Pelodiscus sinensis: one gene and its partners. The protein of the gene in region 1 interacts with the protein of each later gene in a biochemical or structural test. Links are inferred from orthologs where the notes say so. Each region holds a gene or a part of one and is shown on either strand. Other genes may lie near its edges. The genes, in order: COPS5, macrophage migration inhibitory factor, CUL2 and IKBKB.

Region 1 (7,199 bases):
TGTGCACCTATGGATGTTTAGGCACCAATTTTAAACAAACAGAATCAGGCTTAAAACCAAAGAATCTTTTTACAGTAAAACTCCAATTGTCCGGCATTCAGTGGTCCGGCACCAACTGGAACCTGGAAGTGCAAGTGCTCCGGCCAGCCGGACAATTGAAGCTACTGGCATGGAATGGGGCGGCGAGGGGCCAACCCTCCACCATTTTGCAGGAAGGAGGGGGAAGCCCCACACCACCGCCGAGAGTTTCTGGGAGGGGAATGGGCTCCCCACCCCCCAGACTGCAGTAGTTATCGCCGAGCAGGGGAGCGAGGGGCGGCGCTGCGGGACCAACCTAGCAGCACCCCAGATGCTCTGCTCCACTGCTTGCCAGTTTCAGCCGCTTCCCCAAGTCTGCTGCTGCTGAAACTGACGAGTGGCAGAGCAAAGCAGCTGGGGTGCTGCCAGGTTGGTCCCACAGCGCCGCCCCTCACTTCGCTGCTCGGCAGCACTCCAGCTGCTCTGCTCTGCCACTTGTCTGCTGCTCATTAATTTCATAAGGAGCAGTGGCGGACTTGGGGAAGCGGCGGGGCGGAGCAGAGCAGCTGGGGTGCTGCCAGGCACTGTGCAGGGGGTAAGGGGCGGTACTGTGGGACCAACCCAGCAGCACCCCAGCTGCTCTATTTCGCCGCTTTCTCAAGTCCGCCACTGCCGCTGCTGAAACTGATGAGCGGTGGACAAGCGGCAGAGCAGAGCAGCAGGGGTGCTGTGGGTTGGTCCCGCAGCACCGACCCTCACCCCTCTGCTCAGCGATAACTACTGCAGTCTGGAGGGTGGGGAGCCCGCTCCCCTCCCAGAAACTCTCGGCAGCGGTGTGGGGCTTCCCCCACCTTCCTGCAAAATGGCAGAGGGCTCGCCCCTCGCCGTGCTATTCCCTGCCCACCCCCCAGACACAGTGCGGGTCCTGGCAGACCCGTCACAGCCCCCCGCCGGAGTACCTCCCGATACTCCCGCATATCCAATAATCTGGCACCACCTAGGTCTCAAAGGTGCTGGATTATTGGAAGTCTACTGTACTTGCTTTACAGTTTAAATGCTTAATAGGTACAGCTAGAACAGATCACTATACATCATTAAATTATTTCAACAAAGAATAATATTTGTGGTCTTATTAACCCTACAGAAACAACGAGGACTCCTGTGGCACCTTATAGACTAACTGAAGTGTAGGAGCATAAGCGTTCGTGGACAAAGACCCACTTCGGCTACTTGATTAGTTGATTAATTGAAATTTAACATCTCTACTGTGTACAGTATTAAATTTATTAAAACTCATACTGTGTATATTAGAGACACACATTGCCTTTTGCCTGCTGGAAAAACATATCCTGGAACCTAACCTGCATTTTCATTAATTCTTATGGGAAAATTAGCTTTGCTTAACGTAGAGTTATATTCCTGAAAAATATTAAGTGAGGAGTTACTGTACATTATAATCTATTCCAACTCATAATTTATATTGAAATCTATAAGTAATCCAGCTGTAAATACAGCAGCAATTCTTATTCCCTAACCCTGCAACCTGAGTTTCACCATTAAATTTAGGAGAACTTTGCACAAATGAAACAAGTGTCTCTAATTGTATTAGATATAGTTAATGAAATACAAAAATTCAACTATAGATAGAGGAACTATTTGAACCTGGAAACATGTATGGGATGTACTGCTCATTCTGCACTACATCACTATCAAGATTGCAGTGTGAGGTTAATATAAAATAAGTATATGATGTAGTAGGTAAATATAATAGAAAGTTCCAGCTTGGAACTTTTTATTATATTTACCTACTACATGTTCGCAAGTTTCATCAGAGATTAAAGCACCAATTCTGTCTGCACTAAACCCATTGGAGGATTAGGGCCTACATGTGAATGGAAGTCTATATGGAAAGGCAGGGGGTAGAGGAAAGAACTATTTCAGTTATGTTTCATGCAAACATTCTGTATAATGTTCATATCTTCTAAAGTACAATTACTGGTAGTTGCCAATGCTGTCTATATACTCCGTGATTTATATTTTTTCTTCTCAAAGGAGATTTAGGGTTTCTTTTGATGGAAAATAAGGGGGGGGGGAAGAAGAGAGAGTGAATGTGTGTGTAAATGAAGCCAACTATACATATTATGTATAACTGCTATAGCTGTGAAATACAAAGATTTCATGCTTGACACTGAGTTGTTATTACAGCACCAATAGCCTATCTTCTGGCACAACGGATCTCTTTATTTACCTGTTTTGCATTTTCAATATATGCAGCCATATATTCATATGCAGCAGCCTGAGCATTGACTCGGGTTTCAGTGCCTTCTACAGGTAAAGCGAAGCTGTCCATGATAATCATAGTTTCCCCATCCACTTTCCCAAGCATCAGCCCCATTACTTCCAGATTGCCTCCAGACCGGGCGTGCATGACCATCTTCAGCAGGGCCAGAGCCGAAATCTTGCAGTATCTGAAGTAGTGGTTGCTACAGAAAAGAGCGGAGAGATATTAATGAGAGGACAGGTACATGACCAGGCAGGCAAACACACACAGAGGAAACGTGCACAGTACAGCAAGGGGGGGGGGGGGAGGGAAAGAAGGGAGAAGTAGCTGGGTGGCGTTTATCAACACCTACCCAGGGCCCCTCTTAACCGCCACCCGCCGGAAATGCTGCTGACTTCAGGACCTAAACCACACGGGTGGCCCCGCTGCCTCCCCGGGCTCCATGGGCCCCGCCGCCTCCCCGCCCCCATAGCCCGGAACGCTCCCCCGCGCCCGGCTCTCACTCCTTGGTCCAGGGCTTGGCCGCCAGGATCTCCTGCTGCTGCTTGCGGTCGTACTTGTAAATCTCGTCGATGCTTTGCGCCTCCTGCATGTTGTTGGCCAGTTCCCAGCTCTTCTGCGCCATCCCGCTCCCGGAGGTGCCGGCCGCCGCCATCCCCCAGCCGCCCGGCCCGACCCGGCCGCCGCGCAAACCAAGTGTCGGGCGCGAGAAGGGGGGAGCCAAGGCTTGGAATGTCCCGATAGAAACTGGGGGAGGGTTGGGAATGGTACAGTCCGCAAAGCCTGAAACCTCCTGGGCAGCGCGCCCCCTAGAGGCCAGTCTTAGAAGTACCGCCCTACTCAGAACCATGCCCGGCTGACAGCGGGGCCATGGATAAGCAACGCACATGCGTAACACAGACCACGCTCAGCTAGCTGTGCAGGTGATCTCAGTAGTTGCGCACGCAACAACTTAGGGATGTCGCAGTGTGGAAATGAACAGATGGTCAAGCGTTGCTAGTTCTCACAATGTAATCCTGGGTCTCCTGATGTTTGGTTTCTTAGGTAAATCTTCAGCTCCTGAAATGGGAGGACACGAGAAGCTCAACTTCATTTTTAAAAAGTCTGTCCTAGCCATCTTGGTTAGGATTGCTGATTTTCTGCAAAACGGAATAGCCTTACTCTACCCCCTACTCCTTTTCCAAGGCCCTGCCCTTGCTCTCTGCATCCCTCCTTTCTCTGTTGCTTGCTTTCTTCACCCTCATTCACTCTTTTTCACAAGGCTGGCCCAGTGATTGAAGTGTAGGAGGGGATGTGGGCTCTAGGGTGGGACCAGGGATGAAGTGTTTGGGGTGCAAGAGGGAACTCTAGTGTGTGGGGTGGAGCCAAGGGATTAGGCATATGGAAGGGAGTTCTGGGCTGAAGCAGTGGGCTGGGGTGTAGGATGTGGCACAGATTTTGGACTGGGGGTGTGGGTTCTGGGGAGGGGCAGAAATGAGGGGTTCAAAATGTAGGATGGAACTGGAGACTGGGAGTTGGGAGCTGGTGTGCAGTGGGGAGCTGGTTTTTAAGCTTACTCTCCAGGCATGCCAGTTCCCAAGGAGCCACCTTTCCCTCCTCGCTAATACAGAGGCAGCAGTGGAGGGGGGGGAGGGGAAAGGGGGAAGGAAGAAGGAGACAGAAGCCAGCATGTGTGGGGAGCTGGCTTAAAAGCACCAGCTGCCACACGTTTACAAAAATAAATGCATTTTAATATGCCTAGTAATGATCAGGGCTTGACAAATAATACAATCTACTCGACATGGGTGAGTAGATTGTAACCCGGAAGAATTGGGTTTGGGTGATCTGCGGGTTTGGGGGGACAACGCAGCTGGCGAGCAGGGCTCACCGCTGTTCAGCAAACCCTGGTAATGACTATGTCTGTAAAGCAAGGGTGGGCAAGAGAGCTTCTGTGTGTGGGGGGAAGCACACAAAGTCACCACCGACGGGAGGAGAATTTGCATGCTCCCCCACCTCCACCCCCACCCCCACCGCCTGATTGGCCTGGCAGCAGGAGGAACCCGCAAAGTTTCCTCTGCCTTATCCCTGCCCTGCAAAAAGCACGCAGCACTTATAAGTGTTTATCCATTAGGCACAGTGCCTAGGGCCCATGATACTTTTAGGGGCCCATGAAAATGTTTTAATTTCTTTTAAAATCAGAAGACAAAAATGAACTTTTAGGGTCAAAGAAAATGTTTTAATATTTTTCTCACATCAGAAAAAAATGAAACTTTTAGGGCCCACGAAAATCTATTACATTTTGCCTAAAACAGAAAAAAAATGTTTAAGTATTTAAAGTTATATCAAAATACTTTTTAATATTTTTTTTTTTTTATGGAGGAAGGGGCCCATGAAGGCAAAAGTGCCTAGGGCCCACAAAAGTCATACTGTGGCCCTGGCTCCCAGACCCTGATTGGCCTGAGGGTGGGGGACATGGGAAGTCTCCATCTACCATTGGGCATGGGTGCTTAGTGGGAAGGAGGAACAAAGGGGCTCCTCCACCCCTAGATTAATCATGGAGTATGGGTGGGGAAGCCTGGAAACCATCCTGGCCCCGCCCCTTCCGGAGCGGCCCAGGGCCAGGCGACCCCTGGCAAAAAAACTGTTGCCCACCCGTACTGTAAAGTGTCATGCACAGCTAGATCTTAATCATGTAGTGGAATCCCTGCACATGGTTCTGCTCATGGAAAACCCAAGTTAGGAAAATGGGACATGATGAAAATGCAAATGTCTGGCCCTACACAAGGCCCTATTATTGATTCTGCATCAGTGTGAGAGGTCTGTGCCCCTGCAGAGCTCTACTGATTGCTACAGGGTCATTATATATATATATGGAATGTTTATATTAACAAATTTAAAGTTATGCTTCATATTACACTTATTCCTTTGTCTCACATTTAATGAATTTTTGGGCCCTTGTAATGGGCTATAAGAAGGGAAGAAATGAGAGAGCTGGGAAGGTCTCCATTCTTGATGTCATATGGAAACACTATTTGCAGGGGAAGTAGATTCAGCATAAAGAGTAAAAGTGATGAGAAGTCCTTTGGCACCTTATAGACTGACAGATTTATTGGAGCATAAACTTTTGTGGGCAAAGACCCACTTCCCCGACTACTGCTCTGTATTGTAAGGGACAGGGGAGCTGGTGCGCAAAGATGCTGGCTCAGTCCCTGGTCCTGCTCCCCTGTCCCTTACAATGCATCTGACGAAGTAGGTCTTTGCCCACAAAAGCTTATGCTCCAATAAATCTGTTATTCTATAAGGTCCCACAGGACTCTTGCAGATTCAGACTAACACAGCTAACCCTACTGATAGAAATGTAGCTGTGTTAGTCTTGGGTAGTTGAAGCAAAATGCAGGACAATGTAGCACTTTAAAGACTAACAAGATGGTTTATTAGATGATGAGCTTTCATGGGCCAGACCCACTTCCTCAGATCAAATAGTGGAAGAAAGTAGTCACAACCATATATAACCCTCTGATACTTAGCAAGAAGAGTAGAAGCAGAGAGGCCAATTGACAATAAAATAGTGGCAAAGTTCTCATTCTTGGTTTACACTCCTGCTTTAAAAAAAATCAAACTGCAAACACAGCCCTCCACGTCCTAGGATTTGTGTGTGGGAGAGGGGTAGGAGGAAGATGGCCCTCTGTATGTGATGGTTGGGTACAGTGTCACTTTTGGGAGGGAGAGAATGGGGTCCACTACATGGAGGTATTCGTGACCGTGCAGTATCCTTGTCTGGTTCTACGGTATGTCCTCTGTGTGGTATTTGTTTAGGTCCAGATGGTCACCTGTGTACCGGGTGGGAGGAGAATTGTGCATGAGGATCTCGCGTGCCGGGAGTGGCTCCCTGGCAGGCATCGGGTACGAAACGAGAGACATCCCCGCACATCCACACCGGGAGTCCGGTCCCGGCTCCCGCGCAGCAGGGGGCGCTGTTTGCAGCCGCGGAGGTCTGGCGGCAAGTCTCCGGGGGAGGCGGTAAAGTGAGAGGACGAGGGCGGGAGCTGGAGCTGAAGCTGCCGCCTGCAAACCCGACGGTGAACCGGTGAGTGACGCCGCGGGCTGGCTGCAGCCGTGACAACGGGACCGGGGAACTCAACGGCGGCTGCTGAGGCTAAGGGGTGGGGCGCAGGGAGCCCCCCTCCCGGGAGCGCGGGACGCAATTCTGCCCCGTCACCTGCCCCCTGGGGCGGCCGCTCTGGTCTCCTGCCTGTGTCTGAGGCGCGGACGGGGAGTCGGGGGCTGCGGCCCCCTCGCTGTGAGCCGCCCCGGGATGGGAGAAGCGAGCACCCCAGGGCCTCGCTGCGGGGCGGGGGGACCTGTGCCCCTCCGGTGGCGGCCGGGGGAAAGCGCGGGGGTGTCTGCGCCCCTCCGGGGAACGAAAGGCCTCGCGAGGCAGGGAGGAGGCCGAGGAGGGGGGCGCGCTAGGCCCAGGCTGGAGCCGCAGCAGTTTTTGTTGTAGCCTGGTTGCCTAACAACGCTGAGTAGCGTCTTAAAGAGGCAGAGCCCGAGGCCGCCGCGCTGTGTGCGAGGAACGTGGCCTGACTCGGGCCCGCTCTGGTGTCTCTTTCCCCCTCTCTCTGCGCGGGGCAGCGCCTTGTAACCCTACCCCCCCCCCGCGCTGCTGTTGCTGCTGCCCCCCGGTGCCCGGCGGCGGCGTGTCCCTGGTCGCTCTAATGCGCTATCGGTTTTTCGCAGTTTGTATCTCATTGGCTTGTCTTAATAACCAGGCATTTTTATTTTTCTTTCCTCTCATAAGACACTGTCATGCATCTGTGTAATGCATATTTATTTTCGTAGCGTCTTTCATATAAGCTGTACTGAACTGCTTTACAGAGCTTTATTGTACCGGAGGGGGAGAGGGAAATTAAGAGGAATA
Region 2 (6,998 bases), on another chromosome or scaffold:
CCCACTTGCTGCCTCTGACAGAAGCAGCAAGGGGTGGGGAAGCGACTAGTCGAGTTCCTATTTGACTACCCGATAAGCATTTGCTTATCGGATAGTCAACTAGTCGCTAACATCACTAATCCCTGCCTCTTCACACATAGGCAGCAGCAGCAGCTCCTCCTGGTTGCCACTGGGTACTGCTGCTCTACTCCCTTGCTGGCTGACAGAACAGCAGCTGCTTGTCAAGTGGCAGAATTCTTCTGGGTCTCCTTGCCTACCTCCAAACTCCCCAAGGTGCCCAATGATCATCCTTCATGCCAGGAAAAAAAAAAAAAAAAAAAAAAAGAAGAGGGCACTGAATATTATTCATTTGTGTATCATATTTAACCCTAACTCCCAAGGCTCAGATTATACTATATCAGCCAGCCACTTGGGATTATAGGTAGCCTACTAGACCAGTGGTTCTCAACAAGGGGTATGCAGAGGTCTTCTGGGGATACATCAACTCATTTAGATATTTGCGTAGTTTTACAATACACTGCATAAAAAGTACAAGTCAAGTCAGTACACACTACAATTTCATAAAATGACTTGTTTATAGGGCTGTATGATGAAATATATATATTCAATATTTATATTCTCATGTATTTTATAATTCTATGGTAAAAATAAGAAAGTAAGCTATTTTTGTCTGATTTTGTAAGCAAGTATTTAAGTGAGAACACTTGCGGGTATGCCAGAGACTCCTTAAAGAGGTACAGTAATCTGGAAAGGTTGAGAGCCACCTGAACCACATTAATCTGGGGCCAATTCATGGCACCAGCACACGACTGTTGTGAAGTCTGAAAGTTGTATCTCTCTATTCACAATAGATAAGAGTTTTCCCTTGGGTGTTAATAAACAACAGCCACCAGGGAGCATAATAGAGAATCCAAAGAAATAATTTAGGCAAGCCAGTAATTTGAATGTCACTCTAGTGCAGCCTTACCTATCTGCAGGTATGTGCAGTTGTTTAGTGAGCAGGTCACACAACAGCTTGGTATAGTTCTTGTTCTGCTGGCCTCCTATCTTGCCAATGCTGTGCAGGCTGCAAAGGGCACAGGGATCCGTGGAGCCTCCAAAGGACATCAGCTGATCTGCTACAATGTGCACAGCTATGTACTGCGAAACAAAATCAACTGTTAGTGAGGAGGTTAATATTCCGTCCTCAATCTCTCTCCTCTGAGGTGTATTTAGTTGGAATCCAGAGAGCAGGCTTGTTTCCTGGGATTAGCTATGGCAAGCACAAGTGGTGTTTAATTGTACATTTCTAAAGCATCCACTGCAATAGTACAGTACCTTTGCCAGACACATAGCGATGTAGCCCCCCAGCTTAATTTTAAATAATTCTGTGAAGAATGACTTAGTAATCCTCTTCATTGACGCTAATATTCAATAGGACTTGCTTTCTAGCCAGTCAATGTTCAGCTATTGGTAGGGCTATAATTGTTAGCCTCTATACATGGCACATTACAGAAGCCACTGACCAATCAGCTTGCTCCCATAAATCTATAAAACTTTAAGCACAGGAGGGCTCTGTTCTCTTGCTTGCTCTACCACAGATTCACTGGTGTTGACTGTTGGTACACCAGCCTTTTGGTTCTCATTTTACACCAGTACCACTGAAATAGTGTGACTGCAATTCATGGAGTAAGCCCATGGCCACCTCATCTGCTAAGCCTGCTTACAGGCATGTTAGGATAACAGAGTGATCAAAACAATAATGGGCTGTCTACTCTGATGCTAATAGAGCTTTAGCTCCCATTACTGTGAAATGGAAGGGACATTCACAGAAAATTCCAGCAGATAATAGCCACTGTATCACCTAAGGCAAGCTACTTGGCTACTCTATACCTCTGCTAAGAGAAGCCAAAGATGCACACCCATATTTGCAAAGTGTCTGAGAGCTTTGGGGATGAGAAGCCTCTGTATGTGCAGGATATTAGTGGAACATTTTCTTGACTTAACAGGATATGAAACTTTGCCTGGAGCTGAGTCACGATCCTTCTTACCCATTGCTGCCCTCTGTGGCAAGTTTTAATGTCCCATCGGGCTTTCTTGCAACACAGTCAAAAAATGGTGACCTCAGGTAGCATTAGTCTTTTGTACACACCATTCTTTAATAGCGAAGACCCATTTTGATCTTGCTTTTGTGGACCTCATAGAGCAAAATACTTGGTGACAGGAACTTGCCAGGTTAGTAAGGTTACTTGCCAGGTTATACACCCATTGCAATGGGAACCTACCCATTTTAACAGGACCGTTCCCTCCCACAAGCACACCTCTCTATGGCAAACTGGGATAGTTTATTCGCTTTAACGAGCAGATAAGCATGCGAGAACCCGCCCAAACCATGCACCCCTAGCGCCTGGCCTTGTCCACGAGGCAGTGTAGTGTCACTTCTGCCTATGAGTCAGACGCACAGTCATTTATTCCACAGCGGAGAAGCAGCCAGCCCCCTGGGGCCATGCAAGCACGCTTCCACGTGCTGCAGGCCTTCCATCCCCGTCTCGCCTCACTCCCCCAGACAGACAACCCAAGCTGGACTAAAGGCTGTCCAGAGAAATTAGAGATCTCCCCTTTACACTGAGAATAGTTACAAGAGACTCAATTCTGTTTCCGCTAGGGTGAGAAAGAAAGCCCCTAGCGGGGAGACCAGCACCAAGGCTCCCGGCTAACTCTAGCATCCGTCGGCGCTGCGACTTGCCCTTTCTGCAAGCAACCTGCAGCGCCGGGATGGAGTTACAGCCTCCGCAACTCACCTGGGCAGGCTTGCCGGTCGCCTTTGCTAGCTGCTGGGTGAGCTCCCCCGTCAGGCTCTCCGGCACCGCGTCCTTGCTCACGTTGGTGTTCACCACAAACATGGGCATCTTGGAGCCTTGCAAAGAACTGCCCCTGTCTGCAATGCGGACCCTTTGCCCCTGCAGCAACCCGTTCCGCCGCTGCCGCCGCCGCTGCTGCTGCAAAATGGAGCTGAACCGGAGACCCTGCCCTCCTCCCTCGCTGGATGCTCCGAAATGCAGCCCATGTGATCAGCGCTAGGCCAGATTCTTAAAGGGACAGCAGCGCCCCAAACACGGGTCCCTCTCCGCAGCGCATTTTGGCAACTGCACAATCCGTTCAAGCGCGGTCCTGGGGCACCTGCTGGATGTGAAGTGTGTGTAGTTTCCCCTCGTCATTCCTGCCGGGCGTCTCCCCATGCCTCCCTTTGCTCAGGCATTTGCTTTATTATTATTTTATTAAATAACTGTATACATTCTATATCAATAGAATTTATATCCCTGTAACTATGAAATGTGTAGATTCTGTATTTTATATACTGATAAATATTTATATACATATTTATATTGCGGGAATACCCAAAGGCTCTCCTATGGACCCCGTTGTGCTGGGCGCTGTAAGAACTGGCCCTGGCTCAGATAAGCCATTGTATGAGGCTAATATCAGATAAAGACTTATGCTGTGAATAGGTCCCGCCCATCCTCTGATTTCAGTGGGACTATGGATGGTGGGGTGACACCTACCATAAGCCGGTCTGCAGGATGGGGGCAAACACGCAAGTTCTACCCAGAAAGTGCTCTTTTATTTGCAAAATAAATGGTAGCCCTCTGCACTTTTTTTATATACAAACATGTGTGTTTGGGTTTGCCTGGTTCTCTTCCCCCCACCCCCATCACATAATGCAAACCATGGCTTATGTCTGTGTTGCTGGCATGAGTTCTACAGTTCTTCTCTTTTGCTTTTCACTCTTACATAGGAAACGATTGTGGCCACGATTTCTCTATTGTGTCCTGTCTTTTGTTTCAGCTAGACCAGACTAACAGGGCTGCATCTCTATCACTAGTCTATAGTCTGTGTTCTTGTTGGAACTGAATTATGCAGACGTGCTCTGATCCTGGCTCGTGCCTGAAGAGGAGTGAGCTGCCTTTATGTAGAAGCCAAAGGCTGCTTGGGACATGAGCCCTCTGCTGGGCTGCGTGCTGAGATGCACGTAGCTTTCCCCAATGCTGCTCAGGCAGACTGGTAGGTAGCATGTCATCCCCAATTCGCACTAGTCAGATGACTCACAAAATGGAGGGTAATACACACACACACACACACACACACACACACTATATATATAAATGGAGGGCCACAACACACACAGACAGAGCCAATATATACATAATCCTATAATAAGTAATGACCCACAAAACCAGTGTACAATAAATAATGAAAGGCAGCGTCTGGGTCAAGAACACGGGTGAATGTTTTAAGATGTTTTTGTAATACCATTTAGAAAAATGAGCTGTCTCTATTATTCCTTGCAATTGCTTAAATCATTCTCCTTCTCTGCTCCCCAACCTCCAGCTCCCTGAAAGATTGCAGGAAGGTAAGGGTATTGCTTCTGGGAATTTATGCAATACGGGAAGAGGGGGAGGAGCGTGCTGCAGTCAGTGACTGCACCCCAGATATTCTCACTTTCCCTGGTCTGCCAACCCCAAAACAGTAGAACCCTAGCCATGCTGCTGTTCTTGTACGGAGAGGATCTATGGTCTTTCTCGGGAGTGATGCTGTGGATGTACTCTTCTCCACTTTGGCGGGTTTCCCCTACACACTGAGAGGCAATGTTGGGCCCTCTCTTTGGATTTCAGGTATGCATAGGGCTTGCATGTTCACTAAAACTGCCCATGTGCATGTGTAACTCACTTGGAGTGTGTATATGTTGCACATGCACACACGAGTTTAAGCATTCATTTTTGGTTACACAGCATACTTTATAAAATGTGACCTGTGCCTTTTGTTCTCACTTAAGCATGGCCTCATACAATAGAGACTCAGAGTTATGAACACCAGAGTTATGAACTGACCAGTCAAACACATACCTCATTCGGATCCAGAAGTACATCTCAGGCAGCAGTAGAAACAAAATAAACAAAAAGCAAATACAATACAGCACTGCATTAAATGTAAACTTACAAAAAAAAAGTTAAGCAGCATTTTTCTTCTGCATTGTAAAGTTTCAAAGCTGTATTGTTAGTATTCAGTTGTAACCTTTTTGAAAGAGCTACCATAACTTTTTCTTCAGGGCTGCATACATTTCAGAGTTACAAAGAATGCTCATTCTCGAGGTATTTGTAATTCTCAGGTTCTACTGTATTTTATAATAATAATAATAATAACAATAAATAATAAATCTCAGGAAGAAAGGTATTGAAAAAATTAAGATGCTGGAATCGCACCCAACATTTTTTTTAATGCAATGCAAAGCAGTTAGGTCCAGATCCTCAAAAGGGTTAAGCTCCTAATTAACATTTAGGGCCGGCTCTAGATACCAGCAAATCAAGCACATCCTTGGGGCAGCACAATTCCAGGGGCGACATTTCCAGGTAAGCAGACATCCCCCGGCACTGCCCAGCCCCGCCCCGCCCTGACAATTTAAAAGGGAGCTTGGCTCTGGTTGTGTGTCCCCGGGAGCTGGCTGCGGAGCGCGGCACAGCCAGGCTCTGCCCCTCCCTGCTGGCTCCAGTCCTGCGGCGGCCCCAGTTCCCTTGGCCGGCGAGAGACCGCTCCCTGCCGGCTGCCCGGCTCGCTGTGCCCGCCCCGCCCCGTGCCCCTCTGGCTCCATACCACCCGTTCCCCACACCGCCCCTGCACCCCGCACCCTGCTCCCCTGCACCCCAGTCCCTTTGTTCTCCCTGTTCCCTTCGTCCCTCTGGCTCTGCGCCACCCGTTCCCTGCGCTGCCCCTGCACCCCAGTCCCCACATCTCTCTGGCTCTGTGCCACCTCTGTACCCCGCAGCCCCTTTTCCCTGCACTCCTCTGGGTCTGTGTCCCCCATTTCCTGCACTGCTCCTGGACCCCGATCCCTCTGCCCCTCCCGTTCCCTGCATCCCATTCCCTGTGCCTCCTCTGCACCCCGCACCCTGCGCCTCCCATTCCCTGTGCCACCCCTGTATGCCCACACTGTTCCTTGCACCCTTCTGGCTCTGTGCACCCCAGCACCCCAGTCCCCTTGCTCCCCCTGTTGCCCCTGCCCCTCTGGCTCTGTGCTGGCTCTGCTGCCCCGGTGGGTTGGGAGTGAGGGGTGCTTGTCCATAGGGCGGGGCTGGACAGGGCAGGGAAAAGGCTGTTGTGACCCAGCAGCAAGTGAAAGGGGAGAGGGAGTTTACTTGAAGTGCTTTTGCATTTATGGAAAAAAAATAATTAAGATTACATTTGCTATTTATAGGGCTAAAATGCCGGGACAACAAAAATGAAAACAAACAAACAAAACACTGCAAAGTGCAAACGTGTAAAAGCCAACAAAAAAAGGGGGGCGGGATTTTTTTTGCTCGGGGTGGCAAAAAACTAGAGCTGGCCCTGCTTCCATTCCAGTCTTCTATGTCATTGGAAATTGCTCAGCTGCTGAAAAGCGGGAGGGGGGATAAATGAGTGGAGTTTGTCCATTTGCTGTCTCTGCACATTCCAAATCCTAGGACCTGATACTGCCCTTTTGAAGCAGATGTGATCTGCTTTCCTCTAAGCAGTTACCTACCTACCGACAACTATGGGTTTTTTTTAGTGTAAGTACAATTTTGGACACACTTTTGCTAATACAGATACAGGCAGGGTTCGCAGGGTCGCCCTACCGTTAGTTTAAAATGTGCCGACGGAGGTTATAGCTTCACTCTACAGCTTTTAGCCACAAGTCTGTGTGGATATAGCCCTGTCACGAAAAGCAGGGCCAGCATGAGGTGTGTGCAGTCAGTTCCCCCGCACATGGCCCTGCACTTTATTATTGGCCCCTCTGTCCTGGGTGGCGGATTCTACCTAAGGCATGTCCCAAAGCTGTGGGCAGCACATCGCAGTGGTGGCCTCCCCCCTGGAGGGGCCCCCAGCCCACAGGAGGAGGAAGTTGCCATGCACACTGGTGCTGAATGTGCCCCATGTGCCCCCATGCCGGTTGCTGCCTTCCCAGGATCACTTTGCTTCGCTGGGGGAGCAGCTGCTGAAGCTCT
Region 3 (7,818 bases), about 170 Mb from region 1:
AGTAGCTAGCTTTAATTTTTGTGATGATTGTAAAACATGAGTTAAATCTAAGAAAATGGTCGTGCATTTTTTTTCTGTTTTTTCCTGGGTTTAGTGTTTTGTTTTTTTTCTTCTTCTTTTTTTCCATACAGTCCACCTTGGCCCACACTCCTTATCAGCCCTCATCCCTTCTGTATAGTCAAACACCCTCCTTCCCCCATTTTAATTAGTGGGGAAAACACTGTTCCTGTCAGATTTCCAAATCATTTCAGCATACTTTAATTAGGAATGTGAAGGACTAATCGATTATCTGATAGCAAATGCTTATCGGATAACCAACAGGATAGTTCATTAGTCATTTCCCCAACCCTTGCTACTTGGGAAGGGAGGTAGTTCAAAGCAGCAGCCCTGCACAGAGCCTAGGGTCAGCTGCTCTGTGTGGCGCTGCCACTTTGAATGCTGTGAGGAGCCAGGATCCCCGTGGCATTTCAAAGTGGCAGCGCTGCGTGGAGCCCAAGATCCCCAGCTGACCCCGGGCTTCGGTGCTTTCACTTTTGAAGTGTAGCAACAGCTTAGAGCTCTTGCTACACTTCAAAGGTGGAGGCACCCTATTGACTAATCAAATAGACAATGCAAAAATGCATCGACTATTCGATAGTCAATTACATCCTTAACATCCTTAATTTTAATGACAAAAATGAGGTTTACTGCTATAAGTACTATGGAGATGATACAGCTAGGAGAGGACAAGCTGAGTTCTAAGTTAACTCTTATATCCTAATCAGAATTAATAAGGAACCCAATACTGCTCCCACTGGAGTCATGTGAAAATAAGCAGACTTCGGTGGGGAACAGGGTCAGACTCCAAGATTCATTTGCAGAACTCTTGTAGTGTTATATGACAGCCAGAACAGCTTAACTGTGATACAAGATCGAGTTTACTGTTTTAAAACAAAAAACTCAATCTGGTTATATGGAATGAACAAGCCTGATGTGGAAGCTGTTGAGAGAATTATTAAGCCATTTTTAATGTCTTTTCAGGATATAACCACTACTGGATTATCAACTAGAGGTTTCTAGTTTCTAGATATTATTTTAGTTAAGCAAGTGAAAAAATTACTATAACATATGTGGAGTGTGTGCAAGGGGATGAGTGTATATGGGGGCTGTCATGCTTATATAATACAAGATTAGCTAAACTGCTTTTGGTCAAACTTAAACACTTAATTAAGCTGCAACCAAACAGTATTTTTTCTGGATGAAACTTTCCATATGCATCATGAAAGGAGAATTAGAAATTAAACTGCATTTCTAAACAAGGTATCAATTGCATTAGCAAAGGCTACAATGTATTTTTATTTTGTCTGGGTTCAGAAAGTCATTGGCTGTTTTCTTGTCCTTTTTTCTTGTCAGTCTGAACTTTCAAATAGAAAAAAAATACAAAAAAATCTCACCAGAGGAAGCAAACTTGTTGAGATGTAATTGTTAGTTATTTTTTCTGACCACAACTTTAAAAAGGAAGCCATGTTTGAAGAAAATATTTTTAAAGTTCTTAATGCTGAAGTGAACAATTTTACACATGCACTTACATTATTTTCTATTGCTTTGTTAGGCTGCAATACATAGAAGTAGCTACTGTTCACTACTATGTAACTTAGCTTAAGCAACTTTTCCATTTAGGGTGCATCTACACCACACTCTTACCTCAAAATATGCTACATAATTTGCTTACATAATTTCTGAATAAACTGCTATTCCAACAAGTCCCGTATCCCTCATGGAACAACGGTTACAGGGACACTGGAATAGCATGCCTGTTGTTAACAAATTTATTTTGTTTAAACATTACATAAGAGGAGTAGACAAAGCCTGGCATTGCCTGCAACTCTCTGTAGTTGAAAATCCCACCTTCCAAAAATGGGATATTACCTTGGTCTTGCAGTCACACACTTGAATCCTGAGGTAATAATCAGTAGCTCCACACTAAGGGTGTGTCTAGACTACATGCCTCCTTCGACAGAGGCATGTAGATTAGCCAGATCGGAAGAGGGAAATGAAGCCGCGATTAAAATAATCGCGGCTTCATTTAAATTTAAATGGCTGCCCCGATCTGCCGATCAGATGTTTGTCGGCAGATCGGGGGAGTCTGGACGCGATGCCCCGACAAAGAAGCCTTTCTTCATCGACACAGGTAAGCCTCGTGAAACCAGGCTTACCTGTGTCGATGAAGAAAGGCTTCTTTGTCGGGGCATCGCGTCCAGACTCCCCCGATCTGCCGACAAACAGCTGATCGGCAGATCGGGGCAGCCATTTAAATTTAAATGAAGCCGCGATTATTTTAATCGCGGCTTCATTTCCCTCTTCCGATCTGGCTAATCTACATGCCTCCGTCGAAGGAGGCATGTAGTCTAGACACACCCTAAGGATGCTCAGTTGCTTTGGAAAAGGTAAAGGGCTCACTGTCTCCCACAACTTCCCATATGGTTTGCATCTGAGGCTGGGTTGCAGAGTCCCCTTACATGACCAGGAAGATACTAGCAGAAGTCACCTTGCTCACTGAGGGTATGTCTACAGTGCAGGGTAAAGTCGAATTAAGATACACAACTTTAGCTATGTCAATTGTGTAGCTGAAGTCAAAATAGCTTAATTTGGCTTTTGGTGCTGTCTACACAGCCAGAAGTCAAAGGAAGAACACACTTCCTTTGATTTTCCTTACTCCTCATAAAATGAGGGTTACAGGAGTCAGACTAAGAAGTCCTCCAGTTTGACATTATTTTGAAATAATGGCTTGCTGTGTAGGTGCTCACTTTGTTATTTCAAAATAACATCAGTTATGCCAAAATAATGCTGCTGTGTAGATGTACTCTGAGTAACAGTGTTCTAGGGAGACAGGGAGATGGCTGGACCGTGTCTAGAGAAAAATGGCCTAGCCTGCTGGAAGAATGGGAGATTAGCAGAGGTTGGTAAGGAGGAGCCTGAGCCCAACTAAATTTAGGAAGAAATTGAGGGGTAAGAATTGAAGACTGTGAAAGTAAAGGCTTGATGGATTGTTTGGGGAGGGTGAAGAAAAGTAGGAAGTACTGCAGTGGGGTATCTTCTTTGAAAGAGGCCATTCATAAATTATTTCACTCTCCGAGGGAGAAGACATATTACAGATGTGATTTATCAGGATGAGAAAAGAGCAGAGGAGAAGCGTAAGAGGTAAGGGACAGATGGAGAAAGTCAACTGTGAATATACATAACTTTCTGCACATATTAGTTTTATGTATATCGGTTTACACTTTTTGAGGCGCCAATGTGGGTAGGTTTGTGGTGGAATTTAGCAGTTCTACCAATTTATACAAATGGTATAAAGGCATCATGCAAAATAGCAGTCTCCTGAGTTATGTCCTGACTAATTTTCACTGTTCCTGGTGACAGGCAGGTAGGATTGCTAATTTTGGTTTGATGTATTCCTGAAGGCTTCATCATGAGACATAAATTATAATTAAAGATTAATCTGTAATTCCTGGAGATTCTGGAGTTTGGCACCTCTGCTGGGCTCTGCTGATTCCCACTGCATATCTTCCTTGAAAGCTGAAGAAGAGGCAGCTATGCAGAATATTTTGAGAAATCTCAGTGAGTGGGAGGAAGGAACACATCAAGCTGTGAGAACTGTATGGGTAGTGAGATATTTGTTATTAAATATGTGGCGATGTGAGAGCTCCAAGTAATCACACTTGGGTGCTGCCTTCACGGGAGAGAAAAAGTGAGCTTGTGTGAAATTACAGACTGGCTTGCCTTCACTTGGCCTTCATCTTGCCTTAATTAACTCGGCTCAACACATCTTCTTTGTCCCTGGGTGGGGAGAAGATTGTGGGGGAGTTGATAGCGGAGGCAGCAAGGGAGTTAACTATGAATGTGTTTAGAGATATAGATGCCTGTGACTAACCTCCAACTGTCTTGTAATTATAGGAGCTTTTTTTTAATATACTGTACCTCAGGCTAGTAATAGTATGGGCTCAATAGTAAATGTATAAAAGGTGCTTTATAGATATCTTGAAAGGCTGCATGCTCTGTCTCCTGCCTCTCCAAAAGGAAATCAGACTCCAATGGAGCGTGGAATGAGACCTTGCTGGCGTACAGACTTTCCTACATGCGACTGCTTCAGGCTTCCTTGCACTGAATCTCTTCCTGTGCTTTTAATTCGGTGACAGGTTGGAGGCATGCAGAGTGGGGCGCGGCTGTATCGGAGGACATAGCACTGGTGTATGCTTGCAGGATGGGCTGCACTTGCATGAGGGAAAGCGGGTACAGCGACCGTAGCAGAGCTAGCGCTGTGGTGCTGGAGACCGGTGCGAGCGGAATCCCGCGTGTATAACTCGCGTAGCCCTACAAGACACCACCCCGAGCCATACAATGCGAGCAGCGCACATCGACTCACTAGAGCGACTTCCCGAAAAAGGAGCACGCGCAGAGAGCGTGTGGAAGCTGGTGAGTAACACATGCGCACCGCAGAGAAGGGAAATCAATCCGAACGAGTAGCGCGAAGCATGCGCATGCGGGCCCCGTCTGGCCCTGCGCTAAGGGGAGTTCAATTAGTTATTTACGGTAACAAAAGTCGAATGAATTTAGACCCTCTGCTGTACCCGTAGTCTGGACTGTACCAAACCGGCCGGGGGAGAGGTGCATCGCGCCCAGCCCTGGCTGTTCGCCTAGTGCCACTGGGCAAGCGCCAGCCGTGGCCGGTTGTGCGATTTGAAGCGCACGCAGCGGGGGCGGGTGAGTATCAGGCAGGCCCGGAGCGCGCTGGGGCCGGAGTGAGGGAGGTGCCCCTCCCCCCGCGGTCTGCAGCGCAGTGGCGGCGCCGGCGGAGAGACGGGGGCCGCGGCCGGGGAATGGCAGCGGTGTGAGGAGGGCGAGCGGGGCAGGGACTGCAGCCTCAGGACGCGAAGGGAGGGGGGCCGGCTCCGCTGAATCCGGCCTGTGCTGACAGGTAGCCGCGCGCTGCAGGCGCCTCCGGCCCGGTAGCGAACGCCGCGGGGAAGCGGAGCGGGGGCTTCCCCGGGCTCCGAGCGGGCTTGACCTCCCCGCGCAGGGCCTGCTGGGCCGGGCCCCTCGGGGAGGCGGGGGGTGTTAGCGGCCGCCGAGCGCCTGCCGGCCCTGCCTGCGCCCCACATCCTCTCGCCCTCGTGACGGGTTTTGTTCTCCCCACGCTGCGCCGCCGGGTTGAGGTCCCGGCCATGTTGGGCTCCCCGCGCCCGTCCTGAGCTCTGTGCCTCGCAGGCCCCGGTATCTCTCCCCCTCCACCGCGCCCCGGGAGCGTTACCCCCTCGCGCCAGTTTCGCTTTTGCTTTGTGAGTGACTAATATGGGTGCGAAGGGGCAGGGAGGTGAGAGACCCGCAGCTGTAGTGGGTGGGGCGGCAGGGGCTGCTCCCCCTGCTCGGTTCTGCTCCTCGGCGATTTTCAGGGCCCTGGTTGCTGGACTTGACTAATTAAATTATTTTCGATATTCTAACTTTAGTGCCCCACTCTCCCCGGTCGTCCCCTTCTCCCCTCCCCCCCCCCACTTCTTTTCCTGGCTGCCACCCAGCACTCCACCCTTGTGAAAGCAAAAAACACATAACATATGTCTGTAGAACTATTGGGGTCTTTGTATGTTCGTGAAACCTACGCTTGCTGGTTCCTCTAATTCAAATAGGGTATCTGGGGATGGGAACCAAAGGATAAGAAAACCAATGGCTATGTAAGAGGGGTAGCTGTGTTAGTTGGTTTCTGCAAAACCACCAAGGAGTCCTGCAGCACCTTATGCTAAAAAAATTGTTTTTCTTTAAGTTAAGTGTAGATCTTTGTCATTGATACAGCTTGGTCTGAAGTAAGCTGTACTAGTCTAAGTTGCTTTTTATATTAGTGCAGTGTGTCCACATTGTAGCTACTCTTAAAGAGCAGAGAAATTCTGCTTAGGTCTCATCAAAAAAGTGTTCCCACTCTTTCTAGTGTAAGTGTGTGCTTTATCCTTTTAGGTAAAGATTAGTTGTATTTGTTGGTTGCCAAAGACATGCTTTATTGTAGTTTGTTTCCTAGCTTCTTCTACTGGAGTTCATCCTCCCGTTGGAATAGATAAGCCTCAAATCTCTTCCTTTCCTGGGATTCATTATAAATTGTTGCCATTTGTGTGAATTCATGTTAACAGTAACAACCTTCTATGTGGAAAACACTTTTTCTTTAAACATCCCAGTGTACACTTGATGAATGTTTCTACTAAAATGAAAATACTAACACACAACAATGATGTATTAGTAGTAATAACATGGCTTTTTAGAGAGAGTATCCTGATTTAACTTGATATTCTCATCTGTATAATTGTCAAGTACTACTCAGAATCCTAATAAGATGAGTTCCATAAGCCAATTTTTTTAATATAAATATATTTTTCTCTTGGTTCAGAATTTGTTGCCTTGAAATTTTATTAAAAATTCCAGTTGTTTTTGTGTGAGAAGGTAAATAGAAATGCCCAGTCCACCGTCTCTTAATGCATTTTTCTGCTTTGTGTCCTCTTCAGACTACACAGATGTAATATTTGCAGTCTTTTATATGCAAGCTTTTTTCATGCTTCTAAACACCATCTATTTCCATTATATCCATTTTAGAGAAAGTGGCCAATGCTGAATACGGTATCCTAAGTGAAGGTATGCTCTCGTCTCTGTAATGGTTTTTATATTATACATCTAAACACTGACTGTGGTTGATTTTGCACGTAGAAATATGTTGATTATTAAACGTTTTAGTTTTTATAATTTTATGCATTTGTCAGCATTTTATCAATTTCAACAGTATTGTTGGATGGTTAGGTGCTCTTGTCCCATGCACTTCTGTATTGGGAGTTAATGTGTACAGTCTTTCCTGTGCCCTGCTCTTGGCTGAGTTTGGAACTCAGAAGGGGTTGACTTTTATTTAAAGATATCTGGATCTTTGCTTCCTTGTATAGGACAGGCTTTACCATACCTACTTCTGAGATTTTTTTTTTTTTTGACCCTTTGAAGCACTGATGTTACCTTTATTTTGGGTCAACTGTCAATTGCCTTATTTCTGTTACTTTCAAGCAGTCCCTGCTGACCGCAGATTGTTTGGAAGTTGTATAGGAGCCCTATGTAACTCTGTAATCCACTGGGCTAGGAAACATTCATATGTGGGGGGAGGGGAAGCAAGATTTTGCTGAAGTACAGGACACACTTAGGCTATGTCTACACTTTCGGCTTCTTGCGCGAGTAATATGCAAATGAGGCTAAGCGTGGAATATCACCGAGCCTCATTTGCGTACCTAATGAGCAACCATTTTTTCAGAAGAGGCTCTTGTGCAAGAAGGAGCATTTACACTGCCCCTTCTTGCGCTAGAAAAACCCTCTTGCACAATGCCGTTTCACGTATTTCTTGCACAATGCCATTCCTGAAAAGTAATACGTGTAACGGCATTGCGCAAGAGGGTTTTTCTTGCGCAAGAAGGGGCAGTGTAAATGCTCCTTCTTGCACAAGAGCCTCTTCGGGCAGGGGGGAGGAAGGTGGCTCATTAGGTATGCAAATGAGGCTCGGCAATATTCCACGCTTAGCCTCATTTTCATATTACTCGCGCAAGAAGCCGCAGGTGTAGACATAGCCTTAGGGTACTTTTCAGCCAGTAGTAAATACTTCAGAAGATAACAGCGGTTACTAGCTAGTAGGTGAGTGTGCTGACACATGCAGTGAATTCCTACGTTATCGGGCTAGTACCCTTCAAGTTGAGCAGCTTTGTCATAAATCAGTGGTCCCCAATGTTTTGGGGCTGCCGGGCACCTGGGGGCGGGGCTGCTCACGCGCTGTGC
Region 4 (6,950 bases), on another chromosome or scaffold:
CGGCAACCTCCAATGGTTGGGGACCACTGGGGTAAGGAATAGTGTCCCTAGCCTCTGTTTGTCAGAGGATGGAGATGGCTGGCAGGAGAGACGTGGTTTGATCATTATCTGTTCAGTTCACTCCCTCTGGGACACCTGGCATTGTCCACTGTCGGCAGACAGGATACTGGGCTGGATGGACCTTTGGTCTGACCCAGTGTGGCCGTTCTTATCTGAAAGATTACCTGGTTAACCGGTGGGGTCTGGCACACTCCCCCCCCCCCCCCCCCGCTCCAGTCCCACAGGGGGCCCACCATGGACTAAGGATGTCAAATTGCGGTTAATTTACTGGTCGAGTAGTCAATCGAATTTCTATCAACTAGTCAACAGGCACTTCTGCATTCCTACTTTGAAATGTACAAGAGTCCCCAGAGGGGGCCCCTGTGCATTTCAAAGCAGCAGTGCAGCATGGAGTCTGGGGTCCCCCGCTGACCCTGGGCTCCATGCTGCTGATTTGAAATGCCATGCAGAGCCCAGGGTCAGCTGGGAAATCCCCAGCTGACCAAGGGTTCCATCCGGCACTTCCCCAGAACCCAAGGTCAGCCAGGGATCAACTGTGAGGTGCTGCCCCTTGAAGCACCCCCTCTTCCCTCCTCCCTTTTGCTGCGGAAGCAAGGGGGGGGGATCAACTAGTCAACTAACTATCCGATAAGCAAATGCTTATCGGATAATCAACTAGTCTTTAACATCCTTACCGTGGACAGGAGCTGCTCTCATCCAGAGAAACCCCTGTCCACAGGAAGCCCCAGCCCCAAACTTCCTGGGTGGCTGGAGAGTGTAGGCAGTTTTGGGAAGGCCTTTCCTGCATTACGCATGGGTAAGAAGTTGCATGTAACAAGTTTCTTAGCAGATTAGAACTAGCTGTATGCTTTTTATTCATCTGATGAAGGGGGTTTTGCCCATGAAAGCTCATGATACTGTGTATTTTTTGTTAGTCTCTAAAATGCCACAGGATTACTCAATTTTAAAGTTACAGACTAATAGGGCTGCCCCTCTGAGACTTTTCATTTTAATTTAGTAACTTACTTTGATATGTTTTCACTTGCAGCCACTTAGTAAGTACAGAAAGTAGCATGTAAACAAAAGTGTTTTTTTATTATCAGGCCCAGTGTAAATAATTGCTACTTGGGGGGAGCAAACCACTATGTGTATCTCTCTCTCTCTCTCATTGAATAAAGAGGGTTAACATCCTTGTGAGCTTTCACAGAATCCTAGAGCTGGAAGAGACCTCAGGAGGTCATCAAGACCAGCTCCCTGCCCAAGGCAAGCTCAATCCTAACTAAATCAACCCAGCCAGGGCTTTGTCAAGCCAAGACTTAAAAACCACTAGAGATGGAGATTCCACCACCTCCCTAGGGAGCCCATTCCAATGCTTCACCACCCTCCTAGGGAAATAGTTTTTCCCAGCTTTGGGGAGGGATAGCTGGTGGTTTGAGCATTGGCCTGCTAAACCCAGGGTTGTGAGTTCAATCCTTGTAGAGGCCATGTAAGGATTTGGGGCAAATAGTCATCAGTGATGGTACTTGGTCCTGCTGTGAAGGTAGGGGACTGGACTCAATGACCTCCCTTCCAGTTCTAGGAGATAGGCAATCTCCATTAATTTTTTAATATCCCACCTAGACCTCCCACATTGTAACTGGAGGCCATTGCTCCTTGTTCTGTCATCCATCACTACTCTTTGGAACCTCCCTTCAGGAAGTTGAAGGCTGCTATCAAATCCCCCCTTGCTCTTCGCTTCTGCAGACTAAGCTTTCCTTGTGTAAAACTTTTACACTCAGGAAGACAGCTCTATTCGGAGTTTTGATCCCTTTTGGAGTGGTAGTTTCTTGGGTGCTGAGTTGCAGAATTGAGTCCTCCCAGAGCTGACGTGGTTCAGTGTCTGCATTCTTCTGCAGGGGAGCAGTTACCCCAACTCTTTGCCTTGTCGGAAGGAGACGGGAGGATTTGGCCCAGCAGGACAGGGTGGTGGGGAGCCCCAGAGAGCAAGAGGGGGCATCAGTGGCATGATCAGCTCATGGGGACCTATATGAGGGGGACTTCTCTGATCACGCCCCATCACAATAGCATAAGCACCTTTGTTTTCCCACTGTCTCTGCAGAAGCAGCAGCAAATTACTCATCTTTATTTCCAATGAAACAAACAGAAGGGGTAAATAAAAGGCGGCAGCACCGACTCCTAGCAGAACAGATCCCGTCTGGGGAGCAGTCCGTGGAGTCAGACTTCCACTTCCGAGTGCTTGAGAGCGGCTCCCCCGCCCCCCGCCCCCCGCACTCAGACTGCGGGCCGGGGCAGGCTCACCTCTTCATGATCTGTATCTCCAGACACCACCGCTCGCGGTTCCGCAGGCTCAGCTCCTGCCGACACTGTTTGATCGCGATCTGCTCGCCGCTCTCCTGCAGGCAGAGGGGACAGGCCGGGCGGGCGGTGAGAGGCGAGGGGAGGTGCCGCCGCACGGGCGGGGGGCCGGGGATGCCAGGGGCGGCGCGGGGGGGCCGGGGGTGCCGGGGGCGGCGCGGGGGGGCCGGGGATGCCAGGGGCGGCCCGGGGGGGGCCGGGGGTGCCGGGGGCGGCGCGGGGGGGCCGGGGATGCCAGGGGCGGCCCGGGGGGGGGCCGGGGGCGGCGCGGGGGGGGGGCCGGGGGCGGCGCGGGGGGGGGGCCGGGGATGCCGGGGGCGGCCCGGGGGGTGCCGGGGGCGGCCCGGGGGGGCCCGGGGGCCGGCGGGCGCGGTACCTTGTTGTGCCACCGGAGGACGTTGCCGAAGCCGCCCGTGCCGAGCCGCTCCTTCATCTCCCAGGGCCCGCAGGCCGGGCTCTGCAGCGGGGCCCGGCTCATGCTGCGGGGCTGGGGCTGCCCGGCGCTTCCGGCTCGGCGGCCCCGGGAACAGGCCGCGCGCGCCCCTGGCGGCAGCAGGCTCCGGCTCCCCGGGCCCGCGATGCGTCACGTGCCTGGCCCCGCCCCGGCGCCCTCGGCGCGTTCTGGGTCCGCGGGGCAGGCGGCAGCTCGCAGCGCTGCGGCGAGAGCCCGGCCCGCACCGAGCGCTCGCCCCGAACAAGCCTCGCTCCGCCGCCCCGCGGGGCAGGGGGTGGGACTGGCTCTTCCCCGGGACGCTGCTTATGCAGCATCAGGCCCTACTGAACTGGAGGCCTGGGTACCACAGATCATACTGAGCAGGGCCGGTGCGTTGAGTCTCAATGCCTGGATGAGATGATGGTGTAGAGAGGAGGGGTTTAGATTTATTAGGAACTGGGGAAACTTTTGGGATAGGGGGAGCCTATACAGGAAGGATGGGCTCCCCCAAAACCTAGATGGAACCAGATTGCTGGCACTTAACATTAAAAAGTTTGTAGAACAGTTTTTAAACTAAGGGCTGGGGGGAAGCTGACGGTGCAGAAGAGCACATGGATCAGACAGAGACATCGCTTAGGGGAGGGGCTGTTAATAGAGATTCTCTGTGTTCTAGTCAGGAACAGAAGATGGAAGTATGGGTCAGATCAGAAGAACACATCAGGAAATGGCAGACAAAGAGTGACAAATGTTTAAAGTGCTTATACACAAATGCTAGAAGTCTAAATAATAAGGTGATGAACTAGAGTGCATCATTTTAAAGGAGGATATTGATATAATAGGCATCCTGGAAACTTGGTGGAATGAGGACAATCAATGGGACAGTCATACCAGGGTACAAAATATATCGGAAGGACAGAGCAGGTCACCTGGTGGAGGAGCGGCACTATACATGAAAGAAAATGTAGAATCAAATGAAGTAAAAAACTTAAATGAACCAAAATGTTTCATAGAATCTCTATGGCAGTCTTCTTCTTTCGAATGCCGTGGTCAACACTGTATTTCTTCATCAAAGTTGGACGTCCATGCTCTCCAGCCAGTGAACAGAGTCACTGGTTAGATTGTGGAGAGCCTCCAATGAGCCAGTGAATTTTTGCGTTGGGTATTCTGCAACTAGCCAATTAGCCCATCATAAAACGGGATTTTCAGGTCTGTCCTCCACATACTATTCCCTTTCTATCTCAGTCTTCTCTCCTGAGCCACCAGTCTCTCACTCCATCTCTCTTTCTCCCCCCTCCTCCTACTGCCTCCCCCCTCTCTCTCTCAGCTCTCCTCTGTCTCCTGCCTCTCTCTCCGTCTCTCTTTCTCTTCTTCCCCTCTTGCCTCTCACTCTCTTTCTCTTCTCCCCTTGCTACCTCTCATTCTCTCTTCTCCTCCTCCTCCTGCCTCTCACTCTCTCTTTCTTTTCTCTTCCTCCTGCATGGGGAGCACGGAGCCCAAATGGCTGTTTGCGCCACTTGCTCCTGTGAGGCAGCCCAGCTGCCTATGAGCTCCAGCTGCCCCCCTGCACCGTTTCCCTTCACCCCAACACTGATCCTCCAGCCTCCAGTTGTCCTCCACCTCCCCCTCGTTCCCCGAGGAGTAACGGCAGTTCGAATTAGATAGCCTAATTAGGCTAATTAGGCTCTCTAATTCGAACTACCTACTCCATGCCGTGTGTAGCCGCGGGCACGGAGTCCGCACTAAGGGGGATTTAAAAATGGCGATGCCTGGCAAGATGCAGATGAAGCCCAGGATATTTAAATCCCGGGCTTCATTTGCAACTTTGAATGCCTACATTAGCCACTCTAGTTTGAACTAGGGTGGCAGTGTAGACATACCCTAGATTACTATTCATAGAATCATAGAATTGGAAGGGACCTCAAGAGCCAGTCCCCTGCCCTCAGGCAGGACTAAACACTATCTAAATCATCCCTGACAGGTGTCTGTCTAACCTGCTCATAAATATCTCCAGTGGTGGAGATTCCACAACCCCCCTGGGCAATTTATTCCAGTGTTTAGCCACCCTGACAGGTAGGAACTTTTTCCTAATGTCCAACCTAAACCTCCCTTACTGCAATTTAAGCCCCTTGCTTCTTGACCTATCATCAGAGCTCAAGGAGAACAATTTTTCTCCCTCCTCCTTGTAACACCCTTTTAGATACTTGAAAACTGCTCTCATGTTCCCTCTCAGCCTTCTCTTTTCTAAACTAAACAAGCCCAATTCTTTCAGTCTTCCCTCCTAGGTCATGTTCTCTAGACTTTTAATCATTTTTCTTTCTCTTCTCTGGACCCTCTCCAATTTCTCCACATCTTGTTTCCACTGACTGTTAGTGGATGGAAGGGTCTAGCATTGAACATTCTGATCTGAAGCAATTTGAACCAGCTGTTATCATTGCCTTGGCAGCATCCACATTAAATCTTAAAGCACAGCAGTAGCCCCACGTTCTCAGGAATAGGCCCACACGTGGGATCTCCAAGTTCACCAAATGGGTCAGGCTCAACCTGATCTAGATCAGAAGCAGGTATAACCCCCACACTTAGTAAGGTTCACTGTCCCATAGTGGTTCTTAGACCACTTACAGCAAGAGTGAAGAACAAGGGCGCTCTACAACCTAAGCCGAGAGCCCGGTGGTTTTATAGCTCAAATTGTAGACACTAAGGGTATGTCTAAACTACATGCCTCCGTCGACGGAGGCATGTAGATTAGCCAGATCGGCAGAGGGAAATGAAGCCGCGATTAAAATAATCGCGGCTTCATTTAAATTTAAATGGCTGCCCCGCTCTGCCGATCAGCTGTTTGTCGGCAGATCGGGGCAGTCTGGACGCGACGCGCCGACAAAGAAGCCTTTCTTGATCGGCACAGGTATGCCTCGTGAAACCAGGTTTACCTGTGCCGATCAAGAAAGGCTTCTTTGTCGGCGCGGCGCGTCCAGACTGCCCCGATCTGCCAACAAACAGCTGATCGGCAGAGCGGGGCAGCCATTTAAATTTAAATGAAGCTGCAATTATTTTAATCGCGGCTTCATTTCCCTCTGCCGATCTGGCTAATCTACATGCCTCCGTCGACGGAGGCATGTAGTCTAGACACACCCTAAGCTCCTGAGATCCCAGATTCAAATCTGCCTGCTGTCAGTTACAAGTGGGCTTCTTTTAACTTTGTCAGAAATCTCATTGTCTTCCATCATCTCTTTGGCTTGTGCTCGCCAAGTAGGATAATCTTCTCCATTGTCAGCTTCTGCTGTCCAAGGAGATAGTGAATTCCAAATGGTACCAATGCCATTTGAGGTACAGCCTAGGAGCCAGCTACCCGATCAACACCTAGAGTGAAAGTGCAAATGCCTAAGATATTAATGGGAAAATATGTCTACGGGGATGGAAGTGGCAGAGTGGATTTTCTCAGGAGGGATGGGTCCAACCTGCAGGCTCAGGAGAGAGCACATTACTGTAACTTTGCATTTCCTCTGACATACAATGGGCTGGAAATTCCCCAAGGAGTGTAAGATTTACTAATTATTTACCAGACATTTCAGCAATCTGGTATGACCCTTGTCCAAAGCGCCTTTTAATAGCCTGATATGTTGTTCCCTTCTGGACACTAGGGATGTGAACGTGTAGACACACAGGTTCTTTACTGAGAATGGATACATTCCACAGACCCAAAATACTCCGTCCCAACCAGAGAAGGTTCTGAGAGACACTCTTTATGGAAGGCAGTGAGGGCCCACTGGGCCCAGCACATCTCAGGGTCAGACCTTTGCAAATTTAAGATTCACATTTCACTTGAACAGGAGTCAGGAAATTCACACTTAAGGTTCCAGTATCAACAGGAACATGGCCCCCTTGTTTGTATGTATTACAAAAGCCTCTTTAAAGAACACACAACACTGGGCAATGGGCCCTGTCAGCTGACAAGAAACAGCATAATACAAAGGAAATTTCTATAAAGGAAACTGAAAATATGCAAGGTCGTAATCAGAGCCGGCCCAAGCTATGGGCAGACCGGGCCCTAGCCCAGGGCATGTGATTGTAAGGGGCACCGCGCGGTGCTGCCAGGCCAGCCGGGGGCAGGGGCGGGGCCCCGGGC

Evidence for each region.
Region 2: the proteins of COPS5 (region 1) and macrophage migration inhibitory factor form a complex in vitro, tested with the Homo sapiens proteins (2 studies listed by BioGRID). The link is inferred for Pelodiscus sinensis from reciprocal best matches to the Homo sapiens genes COPS5 and MIF.
Region 3: of the proteins of COPS5 (region 1) and CUL2, one has a biochemical effect on the other in vitro, tested with the Homo sapiens proteins (3 studies listed by BioGRID). The link is inferred for Pelodiscus sinensis from reciprocal best matches to the Homo sapiens genes COPS5 and CUL2.
Region 4: of the proteins of COPS5 (region 1) and IKBKB, one has a biochemical effect on the other in vitro, tested with the Homo sapiens proteins (2 studies listed by BioGRID). The link is inferred for Pelodiscus sinensis from reciprocal best matches to the Homo sapiens genes COPS5 and IKBKB.

What each region holds. Positions count from the first base shown.
Region 1 is NC_134712.1:57,851,509-57,858,707, reverse strand, and holds the start of COPS5 (COP9 signalosome complex subunit 5), read right to left. Parts: upstream 3,023-7,199; 5' UTR 2,955-3,022; coding exon 2,803-2,954; intron 2,502-2,802; coding exon 2,267-2,501; intron 1-2,266. UniProt on the Homo sapiens protein: Probable protease subunit of the COP9 signalosome complex (CSN), a complex involved in various cellular and developmental processes.
Region 2 is NC_134725.1:6,004,484-6,011,481, reverse strand, and holds the start of macrophage migration inhibitory factor, read right to left. Parts: upstream 3,019-6,998; 5' UTR 2,889-3,018; coding exon 2,781-2,888; intron 1,141-2,780; coding exon 968-1,140; intron 1-967.
Region 3 is NC_134712.1:231,951,300-231,959,117, reverse strand, and holds the start of CUL2 (cullin-2), read left to right. Parts: upstream 1-4,795; 5' UTR 4,796-4,954; intron 4,955-6,609; 5' UTR 6,610-6,648; intron 6,649-7,818.
Region 4 is NW_027465860.1:407,398-414,347, forward strand, and holds the start of IKBKB (inhibitor of nuclear factor kappa-B kinase subunit beta), read right to left. Parts: upstream 3,018-6,950; 5' UTR 2,873-3,017; coding exon 2,771-2,872; intron 2,464-2,770; exon of another isoform or gene 2,433-2,463; coding exon 2,338-2,432; exon of another isoform or gene 2,324-2,337; intron 1-2,323.